Arabidopsis thaliana: one gene and its partners. The protein of the gene in region 2 purifies or fractionates together with the protein of the main gene of each other region. This does not show direct contact. Each region holds a gene or a part of one and is shown on either strand. Other genes may lie near its edges.

What was found.
Region 1: the proteins of PIPK10 (region 2) and ARAC1 purify together in Arabidopsis thaliana (affinity purification with mass spectrometry, with the first as the bait; one study listed by BioGRID). This does not show direct contact.
Region 3: the proteins of PIPK10 (region 2) and PFN2 purify together in Arabidopsis thaliana (affinity purification with mass spectrometry, with the first as the bait; one study listed by BioGRID). This does not show direct contact.

What each region holds. Positions count from the first base shown.
Region 1 is NC_003071.7:7,737,818-7,742,780, reverse strand, and holds ARAC1 (RAC-like 1), read right to left. Parts: upstream 2,995-4,963; 5' UTR 2,469-2,994; coding exon 2,370-2,468; intron 2,177-2,369; coding exon 2,089-2,176; intron 2,000-2,088; coding exon 1,890-1,999; intron 1,791-1,889; coding exon 1,727-1,790; intron 1,253-1,726; coding exon 1,188-1,252; intron 1,097-1,187; coding exon 1,031-1,096; intron 941-1,030; coding exon 839-940; 3' UTR 501-838; downstream 1-500. Other genes in the region: VPS35A (vacuolar protein sorting-associated 35A-like protein), read right to left, coding at 3,437-3,638, 3,718-3,831, 3,904-4,007, 4,097-4,204, 4,308-4,388, 4,463-4,531, 4,777-4,866. UniProt on the Arabidopsis thaliana protein: Inactive GDP-bound Rho GTPases reside in the cytosol, are found in a complex with Rho GDP-dissociation inhibitors (Rho GDIs), and are released from the GDI protein in order to translocate to membranes upon activation.
Region 2 is NC_003075.7:497,667-508,256, forward strand, and holds PIPK10 (phosphatidylinositol phosphate kinase 10), read right to left. Parts: upstream 8,738-10,590; 5' UTR 8,496-8,737; coding exon 8,347-8,495; intron 8,258-8,346; coding exon 8,095-8,257; intron 7,998-8,094; coding exon 7,887-7,997; intron 7,807-7,886; coding exon 7,619-7,806; intron 7,526-7,618; coding exon 7,434-7,525; intron 7,345-7,433; coding exon 7,297-7,344; intron 7,204-7,296; coding exon 7,108-7,203; intron 7,025-7,107; coding exon 6,916-7,024; intron 6,825-6,915; coding exon 6,545-6,824; 3' UTR 6,469-6,544; downstream 1-6,468. Other genes in the region: AT4G01170 (uncharacterized protein), read left to right, coding at 1,831-3,165; AT4G01180 (XH/XS domain-containing protein), read right to left, coding at 3,621-3,908, 3,967-4,164, 4,248-4,529, 4,590-4,658, 4,735-4,916, 5,011-5,292, 5,365-5,728; AT4G01200 (Calcium-dependent lipid-binding (CaLB domain) family protein), read right to left, coding at 9,117-9,869; AT4G01210 (glycosyl transferase family 1 protein), read right to left, coding at 10,072-10,527.
Region 3 is NC_003075.7:14,445,690-14,455,382, reverse strand, and holds PFN2 (profilin 2), read right to left. Parts: upstream 5,496-9,693; 5' UTR 5,249-5,495; coding exon 5,126-5,248; intron 4,648-5,125; coding exon 4,510-4,647; intron 4,399-4,509; coding exon 4,264-4,398; 3' UTR 3,989-4,263; downstream 1-3,988. Other genes in the region: AT4G29360 (O-Glycosyl hydrolases family 17 protein), read left to right, coding at 1,696-1,783, 2,019-2,855, 2,931-3,440, 3,532-3,574, 3,665-3,821; PRF4 (profilin 4), read right to left, coding at 6,916-7,050, 7,136-7,273, 7,534-7,665; DER1 (DERLIN-1), read right to left, coding at 8,431-8,620, 8,715-8,875, 8,958-9,086, 9,336-9,429, 9,517-9,590. UniProt on the Arabidopsis thaliana protein: Binds to actin monomers and regulates the organization of the actin cytoskeleton. At high concentrations, profilin prevents the polymerization of actin, whereas it enhances it at low concentrations.

The DNA of each region.
Region 1 (4,963 bases), on a different chromosome or scaffold from region 2:
CATGCAGGTTTCGAACCTGCGACCTTCGCGTTATTAGCACGACGCTCTAACCAACTGAGCTAATGGGCCATTTGTTCAAATTCTTCACAAGTCAGTTAAACTTCAAAAGCGAAATGAAGTGCATGTTGTGAAATGGCATCGTTTAGCAACATGACTATTTTTTTTTGGAACTTATATGTTGTTCTACACGAGGTAAGAACGGAGGCGCTGGCTAGTTGCATGGTGAAGACTGAAGAGAGCAGCTTCATCTTTTTGAGATTGCTCTGTTTTTGGGTTTGTTTCTCTTGTTTTGAGGATTGTGTGATGGATGAGAAGTGGAGTTTGAGAGGTTTATTTATAAGAAAATATATTAAAGAAGGTAATGACTGGCATAGTTGAATGCAAAATTCTGATTTTTGTATCACAATACTGAAACATTCAGAACTTTTAAAGACTTATATGCATCACAATTTTTTGGATGAAGTATTCAAGACAATAAAATATACCAAATTGCACCATTTGTTAAATTAGAATTGGAAGAATGAGAACAAGTAATATGTTCAAATTAGTAGACTTAAGTAAAGTTGAAGTGGAAAATCCATCATCTCTGTTTTCTTCAACTAGTCATTGAAATCGAAGGAAGAATAGAGAAGTGGTAAGTGCAATATTAGGTCTCAGCTAAAGCTGGAAACTATTCATCAATAAACAGAAATAATCGTTTTTTTAAGGATTAAGAGAGCTTATCACAACGAACTCTGGAACAATTTTTAAGCCCAATGTGTTTTCTTCTTAAGCCTTCACTAGAAGAGTGGAAGAGACAGAGAGACAGAGAGAGATACGTAAGAGAAGCGTAGAGAAATTACAAAATGGAGCAGGCTTTTTGTGCTTTGCTTTTCTTTTTCTTCTGCTTTGGAGGTTGAAGAACCACTCGGATCGCTGCATCAAATACTCCTTTCACGTTCTGCAATTTCATTAAAAAAAAGCTTTGAGAAAAGCTAAGTAAAGAAGCAGAGTAGTACTCAAAACAAAAGGGAAAGTTTTTGTGTCTTGCCTCTTGTGTTTTTGAACTGCACTCGATGTATGCGGGAGCTCCAATTAGTTTCTTCAGTTCCTCTCCCTTTGATGCCCAAAGTGGTGAACGGTTAAAAGGGTTCGTTTAAGTAACAGGCTAAGTAAATTGACACATTTCAAAGAAAAATTCTGTTTACCTGAGCAGTAGTAATTGGTACAGCGCCAGGGTGGTCAATGAAGAACTGTTTGTCATCCCGAAGATCTGGCATATATGATGAAACACAAAACATAAGCACCAGACGAAACTCATAACTATTAAAAGTAGGTCTAGACGGATCAGACAGCAGGCCGAAAGTTAAGCATTGGTATTAAAAGTAAGAAACAGAATCCGTTACACCAATTTTGGCACAACATCTTGTATAAGCCTTTTCTATTAGGTTTATAATTGCTAGACATCCAACAGCTGCTTACATGCATGTAGTTGTCTCTTACAATGGAGGTTAACTATCAAGAGAAAATGTGAGATATGATCCATAACGTATCGCGGAATTCATTAAAAATGATGACGAAACATCACAGACAAGCTTGTAAACCTAGATTATTTCAGGATTTGTGATACTCCAAAATCCAGGCCTAGTTTCCGCTAGACACAAAAGAGCTAAAAGGTACTACATGGATATATCTTGGACGTGAACAAATCAAATTAGCAGACATATATGTCAAAAAACGAGCTTACCTAGTTTGGTTCCAACAAGAACTATAGGGACACCAGGGGCATAATGCTTCAGCTCTGGGATCCACTGCAAAACGAAGATAAAGCAGCAAAAATCACAACCAAAAGACTTTCTTCAGAGTATTCATATCAAAACTTGTAGCAAACATTCATTTCAAAAACGTACCTTCTTGGAGACATTCTCATAACTAGCCTTACTGATAAGAGAGAATGCTAAGATGAAAACATCAGCACCGCGGTAACTCAAAGGTCTTAATCTGTTATAATCCTCCTGCCCTGTTTACAACAACAAAACAAAAGTTTCAGACCCCAAATCCCATAGCTGCCGCTACTACTAAGTAAGATCCCTATTATTTAGTCAGTACCTGCGGTATCCCATAGCCCAAGATTCACAGTGGCTCCATTAACAACCACATTTGCGCTAAAGTTATCGAAAACAGTCGGTACATAATCCTGTTCCACATGAATTTACAAGATTCAATGAGATACAAAGCTCCACAAATCCTCATAACACCAAAAAAAAATTATGGATCGATTCATGTATTGCCACAAGCTTTGGTCTCATCAATCAATAGAGAAGACAATTTTGAAGCTTGTAATTCACAGAACACAGAATATGATTCAATCTAAGGAAGGAACATTATACCGTAGGAAAAGTGTTGCTGGTGTAAGAAATCAGCAAACAGGTTTTACCAACAGCTCCGTCGCCAACGGTGACACACTTTATGAACCTCGAAGCGCTCATTTCTCTTCTTCTTCCTTCTCCACCAGAAATGGAGCTACGTACGTCTATGTATGATCACAACAAACAAAATTTTGAAAAAAAAAAAAAAGAATCTCTAATTCAAAAATAGCAACCTCAGATCTACAAAACCTGAGGAAACAACCTCAAATATAAGCTCTCAAAAGCGTTTTATTTTTCCTTTCAATTCACCATCTCCGGTACAAAGGGAACAAGAAAAACCCTAGAAATGTGAAAAGAGAGGAAACCCTAAATTGGAATCGGAAATGTGAGAGATCAAAGAAGGGATCAAAGAAGAAGAATGGACGACGTTAACAACGATGAATCGAATTCTAGAGAACAACAACAAGGGAGAGAGAAAGAGAAAGTAGAAGAAATGTGATGGCCGGAAATTTATGCCATTGAAGCGTTCACAAAACGAACAATCTCCTCCATCAACTTTCTCCGATTGTTTTGCTTTTTTTTTTTCTCGTTTCTTTTCTGTTTTATTTTGTTTTTAAAAAAATTTAACCTACAATTTGTTTTTTTTTTAAATTTTATTATTTTTTCAAAATTTTTTAAGTTGATTTCGTAAACTGAATTTCTATTGATATATTTGAAGGCTGAAGCCTCACAAAGGTTGTTAATTATGCGTTATACAATGGTATTGAAAATGTTTTTATGCGTCAATAATCATTCAACAGAATACATAAAATGAATACTTTTTTCATGAAGGACATTATCTAATATGTAATATCCAATGTTAAACTCAGAATACTAAAGATTCGTATAAACACACATCAAACTCCACAAGTTACAGACCATGAACCGCCTTGAAAATCCGAGGAATAAAACTAGACCTAAACCCGGGTTTACATTTCGAGCAGCAAGCAACACAATATCAGTCCCTTTCCGATTCTCAAACGACTCAAAGCAAAGCTTTTTTTTTTTTTAATAAAAACAAACCGACTTCTTTTGACCAACATGAGATTCTATACTTTGATCGCCTGGTATCTCTCACCAATGGCACCCTCTTTCTGCTTTTGGAACTCCATGAACTCAAGCGTAGTTGCAAAGAATGATTCAGCAGATGGATCAGAGGGCATCGATTCTTCGTTCTTGATCAGTTTTATCAGGCTTTCTACTGATTCAACTGTTATCTGTGGAACCCCTTTCTCATAGAAATAGAGGTACCTGCCATAATTCACATTACATAATGCTGCTTGCTGATCTGGGAAAATGAGAAGTAAAACAAACAATAAAAAGCGCTTACTTGTTTAGTATCTCGATGAAGAGGGTAACAGACCCTGTACTACCCCGAGCTGTGTTGGCCACTTGTTGAGCCGAATTTGCAATTTTAAGCGCTCGTTTCAGACAAAGTAGAACCCTGATTTCAAGTAAGAAACCTAATGAGCTATTTTAAACACACTGTGTTCTATCGCACAGAAGAAAGTATTACCTTTCTCCATCTTGTATGGTCTCACGATCTTCCAGCCAGAACAAATGAGAACAGGCATAAACAGCTCGACATTGATCAGGTTTCTTTAGAAGTTTCGCTGCATACTGCAAGAGTATAAGTTTTCCCTTGTCAGCCTTTAAGCAGAGACAATTGAATATGGTAAGAGACTAATTATCATATCATGATGAAATACCCCCGTAGCCTTGTGCGTTAATGTATCTCTATTCTCAACACCAAATACTTGCATCCTCTGCAGAGTTCCAATTATAAGTTGTAACGCAGTCACCTGGGCCTTTGAGTCCTGTTCAAAAGGCAAGTTTTTGACGCACGAGAGAGAGTTAAACTCACCTACTTGCTTTGGTTTAGACACGAGACATATGAACGTCCGCGAAAACATAACTAACCGAAATTTCTTCTTCGTATAAGATGTATGCCTGGGTGAAAAATTCGTATGCAATTGGTTCTTCATCACACTTATCCGCAGCCTGATGAAATAGGAAAGATCTGTGAGCATTTTACCGAGCAAGTGCATACTAAATAAACAGGTACGTAGTTTTACCTCAGCACATTGCAAGTACAACCGGAATGCCAGGTCAGGTGATGGAACATTAGGTAGCGCTTCGATAATCTGCAACAAGCAAAAAAATCCAACAATAAATACAAGAACTGATGACTGTAGTGGAGACAGAGCAATAACAGCAGTCTCTTTAGCTAATATCTACAAACTGTTGATTGAGAATTTTCAACGTTGTCAATCAGCTTGTATGAACTAACTTTGGCTAAGTTTTAAAAAAGTAATGTAGCTCTGAGACACATTGTTCTACCTAAAAACAGATCTGAACACACAAGGCAGTGAAAAGTTATGAAACTTACCTGATTTAGAAATTGGAATATTTTAGTAGCAGTAACGGAAGCCTCTTTTCCAAAAGGATTGTCTCCTTCCACTGGCAATCGCCTGATTAGCTACAATTTAAACAAAACAGACAACAAAAATTACAGAATTTGAAGAAGAACAAAATTAACAAACTATATCAGATACTCTTCTATGCGGTATGGCACA
Region 2 (10,590 bases):
GATATGGGTTTTTTTGGGTATTTGAGACTTTAAAAATGCAAATTTTTGTGTTTGTCGTATTCGAAATAAATGTATTGACAAAAAGTTATATAAATGAATTGATATGCGGTATATTTAGATAATTTCCATTTTTTAAAAAATTTCCTTTCAAAGATTATTATATGAATCTATGGGGTTTAGTTTTTTTTGAGATTTTAATAATACAAATTTTGTGTTTGTCGTATTCGAAATAAATAAATAAATATATATATATATATATATATATTTCAAAGTAAAGTTATATAAACTAAATGAGATGTGTAATATTTAGATGATTTCCAAATTTTATAATCTATCTTTTTATTGCCATTTTAAGATCTTATTATATAAAATATGATTTTCAAAGTTATTAATTCATAGGTTCACGATACGTGTCAAATTTATTGATCTCAGAATTTGATACATCTTAGACAAAAAAATTCTTTTATTAATCTTAAAACTCTAATAAAATAGTTATAAGAAATTATAAAGTAAAAATAATAATTATATAGTAACTAAACATTTTTCATATGTAAATAAGATAATTATAAGAAAACTATATGTATATTTTTAAATAAAATTAGAAATAATATAAAGTTGCTGACAAAATTAAACAAAAAAGAAATTAGATACTAATTCTAATTTGAAGCTACTAATTCTAAAAGAAAAATGATTATTTTTTATTTTAAAATTTTAAATAGATTTAGGAAATTATACAATCTTATTATATAAAAATACAATAGCTATATGGGAATTTTACAATAAATTATTAATCATAGAAGGAAAATGATTCTAAATTTTCATCTCTATATAAACAAATAGATAGTCTTCAAATTTCTCACCAAACTACCAAAAACTTTTCAAAAACACCACCCATACTTCAACGTCAGTCTATGAGTAAAGCTATTTTTTTGTCCTTGTGTAATTTGGTTTCGAACTATGATTATGTTTTTAGTTGGAAATCAATATCATCAATACAATAAAAACACTAGATTTTTCTCGTGTTGACATATCATTAAAAATTACTATAACATTAATACAACTCAGCTCTGCGTAGGTATGAACTATGAAGCTGTGTGTTGTGTTTCATTTTCCTCTGTAATTTGTAATTAAGTAATCGAAATTTTCATTAAAGAAGATAACGAATAACATCATGTTGTAATTCTCACATTCTCTCTATCTCTTTCTCTGTTCTTAGTTTCTTTGTTCTAGAGAGTATAATATTACTCTGTACTTAGTGAGTCATGGTAGTTGATAGGTATTTAATTGCAAGAATATCTCTATACTGGCAAAAACAAGGTGAAATAAAAGTTTGTTTTGCGAATACCAAATCCATCAAAAGGTAATGTAACCCAATGCATGCTCAAGTGTGTCTGAGAATAATAATTTATATAGCCGTCGTAGCCACTCTCAAGTCTTATCTCACGTCTCTTCATATTCTCCTTTTATCTCCAAAATTTCCTTAATGGTGTAGCAAAACTTGATATCTGCATTTAAACCCTAATATATATTATTACCTTCTTTCCTTTTCCGTTTCTTATTTCTCTCTCTTTCTTGAGAACAACATTCTCCTTTTCTCTCCAAAATCTCCTTCATTTTCTGAGTTTTGTGTTCACAAGCAGAGTCGCTCTAAACGGTATGCTTAATTCTACGTTTCTTCATCTGTTTTGGCTTTCTTTGTTTTGTCTTTATATAGCTTTCATGGTTTCTTTCTGCATTATGGTTTTAACGACAAGGATTAGGGTTTTTCCTTGCATAATTATTTCCTAATTTTTGTTCTGTTTTATTCGATTTAATAGAGTGTTGATTGCGATGAAGAAGAAAGCCATTGTGATTGATGATGGATATATTCCAATTATCTGTCTTGACGAAGATGATGATGATGATCTTATGATTGATAAGGACTACAACGTCTTCTTGGATCATCTTCGAAGAGGAAGTGTAAGCCCTCGTCTTGAAGTTGACAATGGAGAATCTGACATTCGTAAATTAAAGATCTTTTCTTGTGATTCGAAGATATCAAAGCTTGAGAATGAGAATCCAATGAAGAACAGAGTTCATCAACAGGGCCAGAGGAAAACTGTTGGGTTAAAGGCTGAAAGAGATAAAATCCAAGACATCATTCAACGAGACAACAGAGTTGCTGAACGAAGAAAGCGGAGGATTGCGATGTTAGATGCTGCAAAGGCTTCAAGAGACGTTCCTTTACTCGAAACCCAACAAGAAGACATTCAACAACGAGTTAGGAAACTTTCTGATTCAAAGGCTGAGACTGAGACTTTAAGAAGAGATGATGTTCCATTGGTTGGAAGTCAAGAAGACAGTCAACGAGACAACACAGTTCCATTGGTTAGAACTGCAGAAGAGATTCAACTAGCCAAGAGGGTTGTTGCGGAGATTGATCATGTGGAGCGAGTAAATAGAGTTACAGAGGTTAATGATGTAGATGAGACTTGTTCAAGGAGCAAAGAAGTTTTTGTAGGGAGAAGGAAGAAGAATGAGGGTAGTGAAGCGGTTGTGGATAAGGATTACATGAGGTACCTCACATGGCTTGTAGATTCTCTTAGGGATTCGACAACTGAGCCAATGGAAAATCTTCAGAAAGATGATATGGATACTTTAAAAGAATCGACAATGGTACCTGAAATGGATCCACTAGTCGAAGTGAAGGTTGAACCAGATCATGATTGGTCTGATTATATAATTGCGATGGGTGATTCGCCGTTTTTGGATGTAGAAGAGTGTACACCGTTTGTGGCGTCCAAGAAAGTAGTTGATCTTGATGAAGGAAGCAAAAAGAATGAAAGTAGTATCACTTGGTTTAGAAAGGAGCTAATGGATGTTCTGAAACAACCATATGATGAAGAAGAGATGAAGCAGCTCCATCGTGACGTATCAATCCATAGAAAAATGACTCGATGCAGAGAACTACGAAAGGGAAGAGGATCTGTTTATGAGACTGGCGAACTGGGACAATCTTATCTAGAAAGTTTCCCTGATTTCGAAAAAGAATACAAGCTTGTGGTTGGTGTTGATGATAAGGCAAGAGCTTTGAAGTTGCTGCGTGGCTTTTTCTTTTACTTGAAATATGTTTCTCATGATGGTGTTTTCAAGCCTTGGGAGAAGACTCAAAGTTGGCAACCTTAGGATATGGTAAAGCTTTGGCTTCATGTAGTTTCTTGTAACTCAAGAATCTGATTTTATTGAGTAGGTTTTTCCTGAAAACTGATGCAATGTCTCTGACTTTTTTAAACGTTGTATCAAAAGATCTGAAACAGCCTTTGAAGGTGATAACAATCAGACATTGTCAAGTTGTCAAAACTAACAGAGAACAAGATGTGGAACCAAAATCCTTTATATGTACATGGCTAATATATGTTCGACAAGTACATGTATACGTAAGTATATAATAATGATAAGCAATTCATAATCCAATTTAACCAAACATACATAACCGGAAACAATTTCTCAGCTCCATTTCTTGTGATCTAAGACTCTACGATATATTATCAATCAACAACACAAGATAAGAAAAACTAATTGAAACTGGAAACTTAACAAAAAGGGACAACATTTTCCTAAGGCTCTTCATAGTTGTCTCCTCAAGGCCTCTTTCGTTTGTTCTTCATAGCAGCAAGTTTGGACCTTATCTTCAACATCACATCTGTTATTTCCTCGATAGTCGCCTTTCGGTTCTCCTCATAGTTCCAAAGCTCTTCAGTCTCATAGCTGCCACTAGCGTTATGTTCCTCCATCTCTAGCTTTGCTCTTACCACTTCACTATAAACTTCTTCACCGTACTGGTTCTTCAGCATACGAAGCTTCTCATCATTTTCATCCACCACTCTCTGCATTTCACATTTGGAATGTTGAGATATATGTAATTTTTGCTACAAACCCATCTTTTGAGATTTATGAAAGTGTAGACTCCTAAGTTAAAGTCCTAACCTTTGGTGTTCCATCAGACTCATCGACCCTAAATGGAGTCCATTGCACATCTCCTATCTCTGCTGCCCACACTGAACACAGCATCATAGCCTTATGTTTGTTCATCACTGCAGGCAAGAAGGGTGCAGGGTTCAACTCCCCCATTATCTTCACTCTAATCTTCTCTTGCTTCATCAACTCTTCATTCGCCTTCCATACCTGCTCATCATCAAAAGTAATTCCACAAGTTAAAAGGACAAGCCAAAGAGTTTGGAACAGATATATTTAGAACGTTTTCGAACCTTAATCATCTCTTTACGAGCGTCTTGATACTCATCGTTGGTCGCACGTTCTTTTCGTGCGAGAGTCATCATTTTTTCATGGAGAGCTGTTTCTCGAGCGTCAAGCTCTATCTGAGTTTTGGCTATCTTCTCCACAATATCTTTATCTCCATCACAACCCACCATATGCTTCATCACATTTGTAGTACCTTTCAGCTTCTCTATCTCCAACTCAAGCTCTTGCGTTTCATTTAGCTTAGCTTCCATTTCCATTATCCTTTTATGAAGCTTCTCCTTCTCTTTCTGCAAAAGTTGTTAGTTATTACTTGTTCATAACTAAAGAAACACTAAAGAAGTACTTGCCTGGTGCTTTTCTGCAAGTTTCATAGCTTCCTCATTCGCTTCATTCTGCTCACACATAGCCTTTTGAATCTACAACAACAACAACAAGAAAGATTTTATTGCCTTGTGATATTTTTCTCCTAATTTGTAAGGAAAGCATAATCACCATTTCTCTTTCAAGCCTGGTCTTTTCCATCTCTTCTTCGTTTTTGATAGCCCGTTGCTCAATCAATCTTGCACGCTCGTCAAGCTTCTCCCTCTTTGCCTCCAGTTCTGCAAAAGACTTTTCATGTCCACCAAGAACCTGTTGATAAAACTCTTGCATATTCTTCTCCATCTTCTGAATCTCTTCTCATCAAAATAACAAACAAACAAACCAAAAGAATACACATGTCAGCATGAAAACACAAACAGAAAGCTTATTAAAGTGTTTCTGTTTTACCTTCTTGGTAGCTATTGTTTAACATAAGGTTATGAAATTCCAAACTCTCCAAAGTCTCATCAACTTTCTGTTCAAGCTGTTGTTTACGTTGCTTATTCTTCTCAATGGTTTGACACATATTCTCAAATAGATGATACAGTTTCCTCTGGTCTTCCTCTACAATCTGAGAGATACTTTTCAAATCCCTCTTCTTCTTGACATTCTTCCCAACAGTATCACTTCGATTATAATCATCCTCTCTCGCAAGCCATCCATAAAGCTTATCATCTCTCAAGCGATGACCTTTTCCAAACAAAGAAAGTGAACTCTATCAATGTCAATAAAAGCAAATGACTTTTAAAAACAATGTTTTACCTTTTTTCCAATCTCTCTTCCCATGACGGTCTAAATCAAAACTCTTTTCGAATTGCATGGCGCTTTCGAATCCTTTAAAGTCTTTAGCGAATTCAACCAAAGCAAAACCAGTATGTCCCTTGGTATTCCAAATGGGTTTGACTCTTGTTGGATTAAACCCTTTCAGAGTGAACTCATCACGTAACGTTGAACCGCTTTTGCCTACTCTCCGACCAGATGGTTCCACCTCAGTTGGTACGTTGGCTACTAGACCAACCCATGGCCACACATATCGTTTTTGTTGGTCTTGTCCAGAACACTCGTTGTTGTTGTTCATCTCTGATGTCTCAGCTACAAATTCCTGCTTTTGTTGTTTCTTCTTCATCTTAAACCTGCAATAAAAGAGATTTCCAATTCAGATTATACTTCCAAGAACAATAATCAAACGCAGAAACATGACTATGTTGGAATCTATTAATTGCTTAATATCATACAAGAGAAACTTGAAGAGAAAGATGAGAAGATGATGAAGAGAAAAGATACTTGAGTAAGTAATGGAGGAAGAAGAAGCCCGTTGTACGAGGAGGAAGAAGAAGCGTCGTGAAAAAGAAGAAAGAAGAAAAGTCAATTGGGCCATAAGATAAGTAAAGCCCAAATAGAAATGGCTTTGTTTTGTTTAGTATAAAAGTTGTTAGGTTAAGGATAATAAGATATTAAATATGTTGTAATGTTGTAACAGAAGAATTATTTAGAGATTAAGGAGAAAAACGTTGAACTGGCTAAACCTAATCTCTAAGAGATCTAAAGAGAGTAACAATGTAGACATACAAGACTAATCTCTGTAAGTGTTCTAAATGCTGCTTTGTGATTAACAAAACAAAGTAAACAGAGATATATATGTTCCAACTGAAAGTTTTAATTAAAGGGTTGACTTGGTTTGATTGGTTTTTTCTTTTGTGTTGAACCAAGAACAATGTTGGGTTTTTTTTATTTTGGGTTTTGTCTTTTTCTGTATTTTATATTTTTGATATATGTGTATTAATAGTTCATGTTTTTCTCTACATTTTGTTGATCGATCAACAATGAAGTCAGAAAAGAGAGGATTTTTTGGACAACAAACACCAACACCAACTTGGGTCGTAAGAAGTGTACCTCTTAACACTCTAATAATTCCACTTGGAAATCAAAAATAACAAACAACTCAATATTTCGAAGAGAGATCATCGTCGTGAGGTAGGAAGATGTTGGAGACAAAGTCTTGGAATCTAGAAGAGTAGATCTTAGGATGGACGGTTGAGATTGAGTTTGAGTTATATTGAATGGATTTGTAACAATGTTCTATGCGTTTCTTCATACCATAGTCTTGAAATGTGTCTACTATCCCTATATACAAAACAACATTGTACCATTCTTCTTCTCCGGTTTCTCTCGTCACTCGCCGTGCCCTCGCTGGAATCTTCATCCCAAAATTGATATTTGAGCTGAAACAAGAAAAGTTAGATATATATATATATTTTTTTTGATGTGAAATTTCTAGCAATGTTGTTATATAGGAGTAGGATAATGCTTTACCTATTGTGAAAGAGGTCACTGAGTGTTGTGGCTAATATATTTGTTTCTGAGCTTGCGCTATTGCTTGTCACTGATTGTATAGTCATTGACATTTCGTTTTCGACTGAATCTGTTAGTAAGACAATAAGTTTATAAAAATTGTAATTTTTGTTAAGTACTATGATTAATTAGATTAAAAAGTTACATTGTTACCTCTATCGGGAGAGCATGAATACATTGCTACAGAAGATCTATCAGGAGAACTAGAAGCCGTCTTCATCGACTTTGTGCTATTGCTTTTGAACGAGCCTGAAAAATTTAATCGGTAGACATTTATGTTGAAGACTTGGTATATAAGAACATAAAACAAAAGAATGAAGAATGTTGGTAAGGATTTTTTACTTGGAGGTGCGAAGCTACCGTAAACCGGGTTCAATCCATCAAGTGAACCTGTTAAGAGTGATTTATTATTATGATCAGAAAAGTTCAAAGTCGATATGCAAATAGTTGCACTCCTAAGAAGAGAGAAGAAACATTACCTTGACATGAGCCTTTAGATTGTAAACCAACCAATAAGCTATAATCCATTATACCTTCTTCTTCCAAAAGCTCGCAATCTAGCTTTGTTTGCCTGTAATGAGATGACCCCTTTTGTGTTTAATAAATTGTTGAGTAACTAGAATCAAGATGGTAGAAAGAAAGAGGGGTGGGGGTGGGATAGTACTTGATGATGCGTTGTCTCGCCAAAGGATCAACGTAGAAACAGAAATCGAAATCGATGTCCTTCAAAACAGTGGTGTTTCTCACTTCAATTTTCTTGTTAGATCGACCTTTCGGAGAACCTTTAAGATCATAGAGCTTGTTCACAAAGATCGTTGAATGTAGCATGTTTGACATCACAGCAAAATATGTCTGTATCCCCAAAAAAGTAACTAATTAGTGGCTGATCAAACTCTAATAATGGAGTGGTATATATATATAATCCTTGTCACCTTAACACCTCCAAGAGGCTTCACAGAATGAGCACCAAAAATCCTTGTGAATAGTGATGATCTGTGATAATTAATATGTCTGTAGTAACGTGGAAGCATCTCTAGTGTCACCTTCACAAGATTGTTTTCAATGAAAGACTCAATATGGAACATATATACACACTTGAAAAAATTAAAAGTAGATTGTGTTAAGATGATTTTGGGGTACCTTAATTTCGGATTTTCGAAGAATCTTGATGAGAAAACGGTTATCATTGGAAATATGAAAGACATTTCCAATTTTCCCAGAAGAAATCTTCTTGAGAGTCTCATCAGTGCAAATGGATAGCAAGTAATCATCATGATCTATACCCTCAAGTTCTTGAATAAGTCTACAAACAACAACAAAAAAAACATTACAAAAACCAATTCTCTTCTTTTTTTTACCTTAAAACATGAAACTATGTTATTACGTACGTACCCGAAACCAACGGGACAGTAATCCTTCCAATCAAACTCAGTGATTGAGCCAGGTGGCAAGTGTTTAATGTGTTTTGTAGAGTATCGAATTCGATTCTCCACCGTGGCTCTCAGCTCCATGGCTGTTATCAATCTCGTAAACTTTGCCATAATTTAAACCCTAAATAGATCATAGCAAAATCATAAATTTATGAACTTAATAAAAAACCTTAAAACTAAAAATTTGATTGCTCTACGTATATGAAGATTTACCTGTTTTCGTACAAGCTGCAATTTCTGATAAAGAGGAAGGCACAAACAGAGAAGATGAAGAAGACAAGAGAGAGTGATTGATTTTTTTATAAAAGATGATGATTTTGTTATTTCTGGTAGGACGTAATTAGTGGTTTTAACTAATCCAGCCGTTAAACTAACAATTATCTCCTCAAAACTTCATAAACGACTTCCCGCGTTTTTTTTTTTTTCACTTTTTACATAATTTTTACTACACTTTTTTTCTGTGATCTACGAATTATTACTATTTCATATCAAAAAGATTTTTTAATTGTTCAAAAACGAAACAACAATTATTGAATATAATGTTTTGAGCAACTAGAACTAAAGAAATTCCAAACTGTTTGTTAACTAACACTCATAACCGCCAAAACTGCCTAAACGACGACGTAAGGGATAAGGAGACCTGAACCGTTGACAGAGATGCACGTGACGAAGATCGATGGTTTAGAAAACCAAAGGAACATCTGAACCGTTGGAAATTCAAGACAACAGATCTCAGCCGTCCGTCATTTTTCTTCTTGGTGGTAACATGCCCGACGATTTCATCAAGAAACAGCACATCAATCCTCCGCCGTCCGATGACGATCGCACGTGATTCTTTCCCGCCAAATTTCGAACAGCGTTCCAGTCTCTGAGAGGAGACGGCATCGGAGAAGACGCCGTCGAGTCAGTACCGTCGTCGGAGAAATTAACCGATCCGCAAACCGAATTCTCTTTCGAACTCTCACCGTCGTCAGCGGAACCGTTCTCCGACGAACTAACCGCAGATCTAGACTTTCTCATTTTCCGACTCCGACGGATCTCTTGAACCGACTTGAAGAAATCAGCTGGAAGTTCAGAAGCATCCATCACCATAGCCGCGATGTTAAGAACGCCGTGAAACTTTCCAGAAGGACGACGGATCTGAAGCGCGACGAGAGATGGAACTTTCACGGCGGCGGTTGGGAGGAAGTTACTCACGAGGAAGCGAACAGTTCCGATCAGATGATCTCGCAAGTAACCAACGGCGTAGATCTCGATTGAAACACCAGAAGTTTCGCTAGATAGAAACTCCGGCGATACCTGGAAAACGAATTTGTCGTTCCAGATCGGATTCTCAGAGCCGATCCGATCAATTCGAGTCCGGAGTTTGCTGGAAGAATCAACCCAGACGGATGCGTAAGTCTGCAATCGCCGGAGCTTTCCCGTCGGTTCTTTAAGTCCTTGCGCAGAGATGAGATTGATCTCAAGAACTTGCGTCTCCTCCATCTTCTCTCTTTCTTTGTTGTTCACAGTGAAGCTCCACCGCCGGAGAATTTAAGCCGTCGGTTAAATCGAAGAGAGGTGAGAAGAGAGAGGGAGAGTGAATGAATGAGACTTGAGACCTTTTATACAGTAATCTTTCCAAAAACAATGAATGAAACAAATTAGTGACCTAACAAAAAAAGAAGCAATTTTAATTTGTTTTCTTTTATGCGTCTACTACATTTAACAAAGTGGAATTTCCGGTAACAGTTTCGTTCTCAGGCGGTGGTTTTACATATTTTCCGATCACTTTCTGACGACCACTTCTACTTCTCATTCTACTCAGCTTATCTCGACTCTTCTTCTTCTTCTCCTCTTTCTCTAAATTCTTCTTTTGCTTCTCTTTCTCTAATGTACCGCGCCACACGATCTCGCCAGTCCATGGCCATAGCCAGTGACCCACACGACGGTCTGAGTCGGCTTCTTCAGCTAGATCTTCGTCCATTGTTTTCAGAGTTGTGTAATCGAACCACTTCACCCACATTTTCCCTCGCCGGTTCTTCTGTTTGTGTTGCTCTTGCATCAAACCAGTCTCAGGATCTATGTAGACAATGCGTCTTGCACTGTGGTAAGCCCATACGTTCACCAGAAGCTCTAGTACCCGCGAATAGCAATGCTTGTCCTGTGAGAAATTGAACACATAAATCCAAACCCAAGTGGACTGATCTGATTTAGATCTAAAAAC
Region 3 (9,693 bases), about 14 Mb from region 2:
GAGTCGCGCGTGGATCTAACTTGCGGACGGTTTTCTCTTTCAAATCTTCTTTCTTTTGATCACAAGAGGTTTACTAATAGCTCAATTCTAGCTGCCTTTATTTTTAATATTAAATTTGATTAATACAAAAGCAAGACTATATATATCAAAACCTTACAATAAAACTGTGACCAGTGGAGATTGAACCAAAGATAAAAAAGCTACACAAACCTTTGAATTTCATTGAAACAATGCTTTCCAGATAAAAGCATGGTCAAAATTTACTTCTAGTGTTTTATCGTTCTAATTAACTATTGTTGATAATTTAACTCAATCATATTTTTGTATGATATCTTCGTAAAATTTCTATTTCAAAATATTAAAAAAAAAAAAGGGACATTCAATCTCCAAGAGACTAAATAAGAGAGAGTCATCAAACCGAAAGACTTATACAATGCTGGAATTGATATGACTCGTATTGTGTAACCATAGCATCAGACCACCACTCAGCCTTACCCTAAACCTCACTTCCATTGCATCTTGTTTCTAAGGAAATCTCGGCATAAAAAATTGTTGTTCCCGCTCTGGCTTTGGGGTTCCACATAACCATTGGGGAGATTGGTGCTCAGGCAATTCTAAGCAGAAATATTCTTAGAATTTTGAGATCGTGTAGTGTAGATTTGGGGAGAAATATTCTTTTTGAATAAAAAAAAGTAAAATAGAAATATTCTTTCTAAATTTTTGAAGTCAAAATGTTAAGAGAATCGAGAAGAAATTCACCGTTGTTTTTCAAAAAAAGATTCACTGTAGTTAATGGGTTAATGCCCAAAGAAAAATAGGAGAAGAAACCCAATTGGCCCACGCCCACTCAAATCAAGAAATTAACTTGGTACGACATTATCATCTTTAATAAAATTTTGTATACAGTACCTTCATTGCCATGATCAAATCCATATTAGATACATCGTTTGAATTATACCCTTATTAGGCTCAAACTCTTATTATCATTGTTCCAAGCAATAGATCATCTTGATTTTAAGTAAGCCTTTATAATGTTCCACATGTTCTCATCAACTACTTATGACACTGCTTAAAATCTGATAAAACTAGTAGCCAGACCCAAAAACAACTTATGCTTGTGCACTCTAAAATTCCAAAACAACATACTGGATTTACATTTTCAAATGGTAAAAAATCAAATGTAAGAAATTGCAATTACTTTGGTAAATACAAAAATTGCATTGAGTGGAGATTGGACCGTTAAAAAAAAAAAAAAAAAAAAAAAGCAGACCACTGTGGTCTGTCTGTACTGTAGTACTCTTTGCACTCGAACCCATTTATCTTTTTAATATTATTTTTTATTATTATAAATCTAAAAAAGTTTTTTTTTTTTTTTTTTTTTGTTCTCGAAGCAGTAAAATCTACTACAACAGTCAAAGAGAGAGAGCAAACATGCTCGCTTAATTCACGGAATCGAGACGTTTCTACAAACTCAATTTTATATTTTCAGCTGGAATCCGAACTCTGATATAGAAAGCACACAACGTTCACCTCCAGTGACTTCTCTCTATCTCTAAATCTCTCTTGCGTCACTTAAAAAGTCGGTGCTTCCTACTTAAGTGTTCTTGAGAGTGAGACGTTTCATTTCTGGGTTCAAGGGTGTAGAATAAACACTTGAGTGAAGTTTAAAGCTTGAGAAAGACAGAGGAAAGAAAAATGGGTCAAAGACTGAATCTAGTCTTCTGGATTTTTGTCTCCATTCTTGCCTTTTTGAGTATGTCTTTACACTCAAATCCTCTTTTGGGTCTGCATTTACCTTTGATTCTCTCTTCTATGTTTCACTATCTCTTAAATTTGTCTTCTTGATGTTAAAGTTCGATGCTTTACTTTTTGTCCTGGGTTAATCTCTGTTTCACTGTAGTAGTTCTTGTCTGAAAATCTCGAATCTGTTAGCTTTGAACTACTTTTAGGTGTTTGGAATCGACATTTGAGATTCAAAAGCAGCCATTTTTGAGACTTGTTTTGTGGATTTGTTGCAGATTTTGGTATGGCTAGCAAGATTGGGATATGTTATGGAAGAAATGCTGATAATCTTCCAAGTCCTAACAGAGTCTCTGAGCTAATCCAACATCTCAACATCAAATTTGTTCGAATCTATGACGCCAACATTGATGTTCTTAAAGCTTTTGCAAACACTGGAATCGAGCTTATGATTGGTGTCCCTAACGCTGATCTACTTGCATTTGCTCAGTTTCAATCCAATGTAGATACTTGGCTTAGCAACAACATCCTTCCTTATTATCCATCTACCAAAATCACTTCGATTTCAGTTGGTCTTGAAGTAACTGAAGCACCAGACAATGCCACTGGTCTAGTCTTACCTGCGATGCGAAACATTCACACAGCTCTTAAGAAGTCTGGTTTGGATAAAAAGATCAAGATCTCGAGCTCACATTCCCTTGCTATCTTGTCACGCTCCTTCCCGCCTTCGTCAGCTTCTTTCAGCAAGAAGCATTCAGCGTTCTTGAAACCAATGCTTGAGTTCTTGGTTGAGAATGAGTCTCCCTTTATGATAGACCTGTATCCGTATTATGCTTACAGAGATTCCACTGAAAAAGTTCCGTTGGAGTATGCTCTATTCGAGTCATCTTCGCAGGTTGTTGATCCTGCCACGGGTTTGCTTTACTCCAACATGTTTGATGCTCAGCTTGACGCTATCTATTTCGCTTTGACTGCTATGAGCTTTAAGACCGTTAAGGTTATGGTCACTGAGTCCGGGTGGCCGAGTAAAGGCTCGCCTAAAGAGACAGCTGCAACTCCTGAGAACGCTCTGGCTTACAATACCAACCTCATCCGCCATGTCATTGGTGATCCAGGTAATCTTTTTATGATCATTAGATACAAAGATAGATGGAAGCATTTTATGAACTGATTTGTTTTCTATTGGTTAGGTACTCCTGCAAAGCCTGGAGAAGAGATAGATGTGTACTTATTCTCGTTGTTCAATGAGAACCGGAAGCCTGGGATAGAATCCGAGAGAAACTGGGGAATGTTCTACGCGAACGGAACTAATGTTTACGCTTTAGACTTCACTGGGGAAAACACTACGCCTGTTTCTCCAACAAATTCAACCACAGGTACCAGTCCAAGTCCAAGTTCAAGTCCAATTATCAACGGTAACTCGACAGTAACCATCGGAGGAGGAGGAGGAGGAGGAACCAAGAAATGGTGTATTGCTTCTTCACAAGCTTCGGTAACGGAACTGCAGACTGCATTGGACTGGGCTTGTGGTCCTGGAAATGTTGATTGTTCAGCTGTTCAACCAGACCAACCTTGCTTTGAACCAGATACTGTTCTCTCACACGCATCTTATGCATTCAACACTTATTACCAACAGAGCGGAGCAAGCAGCATAGATTGCAGCTTTAATGGAGCCAGCGTTGAAGTTGACAAGGATCCAAGTAAGTATTTGTATACATACACTTTCCAAAACACATCCATTAAGAGTAATGTGAAGCCATAGTAGTCTCATTTGAGCTCTCGAAATTGCAGGTTATGGTAACTGTTTGTACATGATTGCTCCGGCTACCGACGGGTGACTTCTCTCTCTGATTACTCAATCTTGAATCTATCGAACTGGAAAAACGAATCTTACTTGCTGATGTTGTTGTTGTTACTTTTGCAGATTCAACAGAACAATGGCGGGTAATATCACTGGAAACATAACTGCCATTGATTCCCCCTTGGCTTCGCCTTCGTCAACCAATGAAGCATTCAGACAAATGGTGGTTGCAGTCTCTGTTTTGTTGCCGTGTTTTGTAGTTTGTTCGAGTATTTGGTGACAAGTGTGTACATGAATGCACTGTCGCCTTCTTTTGTATGAAGTTTTGAGTAGTGAGCGAACTTAAACTAGAATTTAGCCCAACTGTTGAACTTGGTAATTTCTTTCACCACGTAACCGAAATGTCAAGCTTGGTGATGTATTTGTGACTGAACCTAGAAAATTTTTATGAGCTGATCGAGAACAAATGATCACAAACTCAAATTTTTATTCCAAAGCGTAATTATACATTACGAAATACAGTACAAGAGAAAAACATAAGAGCCATCATAGGAGAGGATCAAAACCATAACAAATATGATTGTTTCTTTGTTCTTTTTAAGAGTATAATAACTTTGTTTGATGCACAACAACAATCAAATCACAATACATGGCAGAAGGGTGCTTCTCTAGTGAAGAAAGAACCCGAAAAATGAAATTTGTTTGAAGCACTTTGAGTGAACTTAGAGACCAGACTCGATAAGGTAATCGCCGAGCCTCTCCACGACCAAGTTGCATTGCCCTCCGGTCATCGGTTCATCATAGATACCAAAGACTAGAGCTTGAGTAGTCTTCTTGATAGTGACTCCACCAGGTCCCTGCAAGAAGTAAGCATGGACTTTAACTTGCTGATCTAAAAGACTGATCCTTTGATTCATTATCTCAATCAAAACCACAAAAAAAGAGTCTTCTCGAATGAAAAATGTTACCTTTTTCCCTCGGATGACGGCTCCAGCCTCACCTTGGACAACCATGTACTTCTCACCGCCAAGGAATAGCCCGGTTGGGGCAAGATGTCCGGCTTCTTCAAAGTCTTTGTTGATTCCTGCTATCTCTGCAGGCTTCAACTAAATACATGAACAAGAACAACAAAGTAGGCAATTAGCTTCAACCGACTGAGCAATGATACTACTACCAATACAACAGATCCTTTACATGGTTTATACAATACTGAGCAGAGGTGACAATTCATATGCAATGACCCTAAGATCTCAAATTCAAGTAAAATACCAAATTTTGAAGAATTTGGTGAAAAGTTTTATCATTTGATGAATTGAAAGGAGATAAGATTCTGTGCCAAGCAAAACACCTATAGACAAGATTTGACTACTGAAACCATGAAAATCTCAGAATCAAACTCCAATCAATCACTGAGAAAATCAGATTGTCAGAGAGAACAAGTCAGAAGCTAGCAAATCAAAACCAGATCCAAGTTTCCTCAGATCGGATCACAAGGAATAAACCTAAATCAGACGATTGAATCAGATCGATGAACTTATTTGAGACAGAGGATCGGAAGAAACGCGAAGAAGAAGGAAGAAAAACCTGAGGGAAAGCTGAGCTCTGAGCCCAGACACTGCCGTCTTGGCCGAAGATGGCGGCGTGTGTGAGGTGGTTGCCTTCGACCTCGCACATGAGATGGTCATCGACGTATGATTGCCACGACATCTTTCTTCTTCTCCGGCGAGATGAGACTGTTTCTTCTTCTTCTTGTTGTCTCTGCTTCTTCTTCTTCTTCCTCTTCTTCTGTAGCGTGCTTTTGGTTTGTAGACTTGGACAACCTTTGAGCTTAAATTATTAATAACACGATTTAGCCTTCCAATAAAAAAAAACTCTTTTTTAATTTCTACTGCAAAAAATTCCATTAAAATACATATTTTATTTATTTACTGAATTTGATAAAGACAGCTAAAAGAAATACCAAAAAAAAAAAAAAAGTAGATACAAATGAAATTCAAAATGTTTTGTGTGAAAGTCGATAAATAATTTTAAAATGATAATCAAAAGAAAATATTTTTAAAATGATTAAAATTTGCATCCGGTTAAAAGAAATGATTTTTTTAATCTATTAACAATTTCATTTCTCGGGTTTTACATTATTTCTACAGTTTTTATTTTTAAACAAGATCATATAGAAAATGCATATAATTCTTGCATGGTATAATTTGATCTAACGCTAAAAGTATATTGAAAATTTGTGTAAATAAAATTGTCAAACCAAATGTGAAAACGTTTTAGATTTTATTGGAACAAATGAAGTTTACATAAATAAACAATACAAAAGTTTTTTTTTCTTTTCTAAAAAAAACAATACTAGAGAATTTAATTTCCAAAATCAAAGAAAAGAGATCGAAGTATGGCCATAATTTGTTTACAGGGTGGATATGCTCTTGCATTGTGTGCCATACACCAAAATATTCCAATTATTTAGGTCCACCCTTTACAATTAATGTTCTCTTTTCCTAATGTCATTGTCAATAAATGTTTCTTAATTACCCAAAATTTAGAAAGATGGTTAATAAACCTTTTTCTATTCCAAAAAAAAAAAAAATGTTTTTGAGTTATTGAAGAGAAACAATCACTTGCTATTGTTAATTTGTTATATGTGCATCGTATTGATTCAAAGTGAATATTGTGAGATAACAAAAATTTCCTTATATCTAAGTGATAATGTAATAATAGGGAAAAAAGACTGAGATTCGATTTCTCGATGAGCTGTTAGATTAGCACATAATAAAGACAGATGGGATGGGAATGATTTTCCGACATAATTGTACTATTATTACTTTCCTATTAAAGATTAAAGTTGATGAATGAATTCTGCCTGTTGCCATTTTTCTTTCTCATGTTCATTTTTTCTTTCTTACGAATGAAATCACTAGGAAAGATTGCGTTGCGTATCAGTTTTTTCTTCTGTTGTAAATAATGAGTGTTGATGTATGTGTTAAATGCTCGTGTAAATTTTGAAAGTGTTTTTAGTATTGTGAGATTAATGTCTCTACTACACTACATACAATTTTCTATAGATTATGATAATGCAATTTTCTCAATCAATACGTTAATATTTAGTGTAGTAGACAGAATGCAATTGACAAAAAAGCAAAGAGAAAACAACTAAAACATGCATATAAATAAGAAACCAAGGCAAAGAGAGTAAAAGCCTTTTAGGCTTCAGCTTTCTTAAAAGTTTGCTATGGGGAGAAACCAGGAAGGTCCATTAGCCCAAAACTTATAATATCAATTAGAGAAAGAGATGCAAATCACCCAAAGGAAAAAAATAGGAGAAACAATGGCCTTATAAAAAAATGTAGGTGGTGGAACATTGTAAGAAGATTCTAGAGACCCTGTTCGAGGAGGTAATCACCCAACCTCTCGACGACCATGTTGCACTGTCCTGGTGTCACTGGCTCTTCATAGATCCCAAACACACATGACTGTCCTGTTTTCTTTATCGTTATGCCTCCTGCTCCCTAATTGAAAGAAGCATATATTGAATTAGAACCCTCTTCAACATGGTATTTGCATATCTGATCATGAAGCTACTGATTAGGTTACCTTCTTGCCACGGATTACAGCCCCGGGCTCACCTTGGATCACCATGTACTTTGCTCCTGCCATGAATAATCCCGTGGGTGCCAAGTGACCCGGTTCGTCGAAATCTTTCATAATATCACTGAACTCCTGTCCCTTGAACTATATGAAAGACCAAATCACGATTAGTCGATTACCATGAGACAACATGCATCATTTGTTTTCAAATCTATGCAAAACATATAAAAAGAAACACACACACACAAAATACACTATATATATATCCCATGACAAACATTGATAGAATCTAATCAAAACATGATGCATGATCTAAATCACATTGTAAAAACACATATCATATCGGATAGCAACACTATCAGGATCTAAATCACATTGAGATCAGACGCAATGAAATCAAATACCTGAGGGAAGTTGGCGCTCTGAGCCCAAACGCTACCGTCATGACCAACGATAGCGGCAGCAGTAAGGTGGTGTCCTTGACCATCGCCAACATCACACATCAAATGCTCATCAACGTAAGTTTGCCACGACATCTTCTTCTTCTTTTCTTATTTTTTTTCTTCTTCTTTGTTTATGATCTATACGTTAAGTGCCCCGGTTATGTGCAGCGTGGGGACTTCGTCCTTCAGATAAATAGGAGAGGAAGGAACAAGGATCATTTTAAAACCGTTGGATCACATAGACGAATTCTCAGCCCTACATCTTACTTTTTCTTCAAAAAAACAAGGAGTGATTTTCAATTAGTGCCGCTCAAGTTTCGCCTTTGTTATAGCTCAATCATTGTTTCGCTATTTGCCACGTCTACTTTCTTCCCTTTTCCTATTTCCCCTATTTATAAACGATCACCAACGGCATTTTAGAGGAAGGACCGAAGGAATGATTATTTACTCGTTAGTCGTAATCTTGTTAGCCAATAATAATATTATGTCCTAAAAAATTCAAACTTGTTACGACCAAACTCTTTGGTCACGAATTTAATAACTTATCTAGATAGATATTCAAACTCGTTACGTCCAAATTCTTATGTCACAAATTTCATTTGATTATATTCATAGTGGCTATAGTTTATCGAATTCAATTTAGTAAGGAGATGATTGCTAGACAAAAACAAAAACATAGAAACATGAACCACATTTTGAAAAGAACATTGTATTAAAACCTCAAAGATTCTTCCTACAGAGTCATATATTCAAAAACTGTACTGTTCGAAAACACAAAGCTACCTGGGATTAGTTAGTGGCATTGTTTGAAAAAGATTTGATATGATGAAAACAAAGAAACTCGAGAAGATTTCTATTTCAGTCGGTGAGACGATATGATCGACCTCTGAATGCTGTGTTTGAACTCTCGGGTGGGGCACGAGCGCTTGAATAAGCTCCTCCTCCTCCTACTCCTCCTCCAGCTCCGGGTCCTGCTGCTCCTACACCACCTGCTTGTCGAACACTTGCAACTGGAGCTCCAATTCGCCATCTTGCTACGATTTTATTACTGTTGAGAATGTCAAGGTACAACAGCAAAACAAAAACTGAGAAGCGAGAGAAACAATCATCTGGAAATAATCGAGAATTTGAATAAAGGATACACCCATTTTGGGGTTTTCAGGTAGTTTTTTCCGGTAGCAAGAGGATGAAGGACTGTTAGGAAGTAGTATAGATGTCCAGCTATGATGCCAAGAAGATCTGGCATGATCGGAGAACCGAAGATAACATCAAGTGCTAGCATTGCCCATGGGAGGTAGAAAGCCTGTGGAGTAATTCCAACTTTCACCATTAACATTATATATACCAAGGAGTGGATTTGATTACAAAAGAAACACTTTCAATACCTTAAGAGTGACAAGACCGTATAGGCTGATGTTGGCATTTGGAAATTCTCGGCTCCAGAGATAAAGAAGCATGAACACAAGTGAAACACCAAGAAACGGTGTCCAGAAAAATGGTATGACTGATAATACCTGAAATTTGAACAAGGTAACTGTTTTAACACACGGATTTACTAGTATGAATACCTTCCAAAATTTTGTCTCGCTTTAATAAAATGCAACCCTGATTCAATTCTTTGAGAGCTTCTGATCTTCTCAGCTTTGGGATATTATGTACCAGCGATTATCTACTTTGTGGCATACCACATACTAGTACTGGGGTTCTCAAAGAACCAATAACAATGATCAGTAAGAATAGAATACAGGGGAGGCTTTACATACCAATAGAGTGAAGGATCCAAAGATCATCATCCACAAAAAGTCTGCTGTCCGCCTTTCAAATGGCCCTTTCTCGAGTTGAACTCCATATCTTGCTCTGCACAATCATTTAAAAGAGTATGTTAAGATAATAAAAATCGAAATTAGCTTTGTTCATCTATATATGTGAAAATAGTATGCTCACATCATCAAAAGACGTATTCCAAAATTGATAGAGAAACCACCGAGGAAAAACAAGTTTGTTATCAGCCTCCAGATCTACAAACACCAAATAGATCAAAAATTGCAGAATGAATTAGGAACTTAGGATGACAGAGATTTGTGAGAAAGAAAGGAAAATCATAAAAAAGAATAAATCATA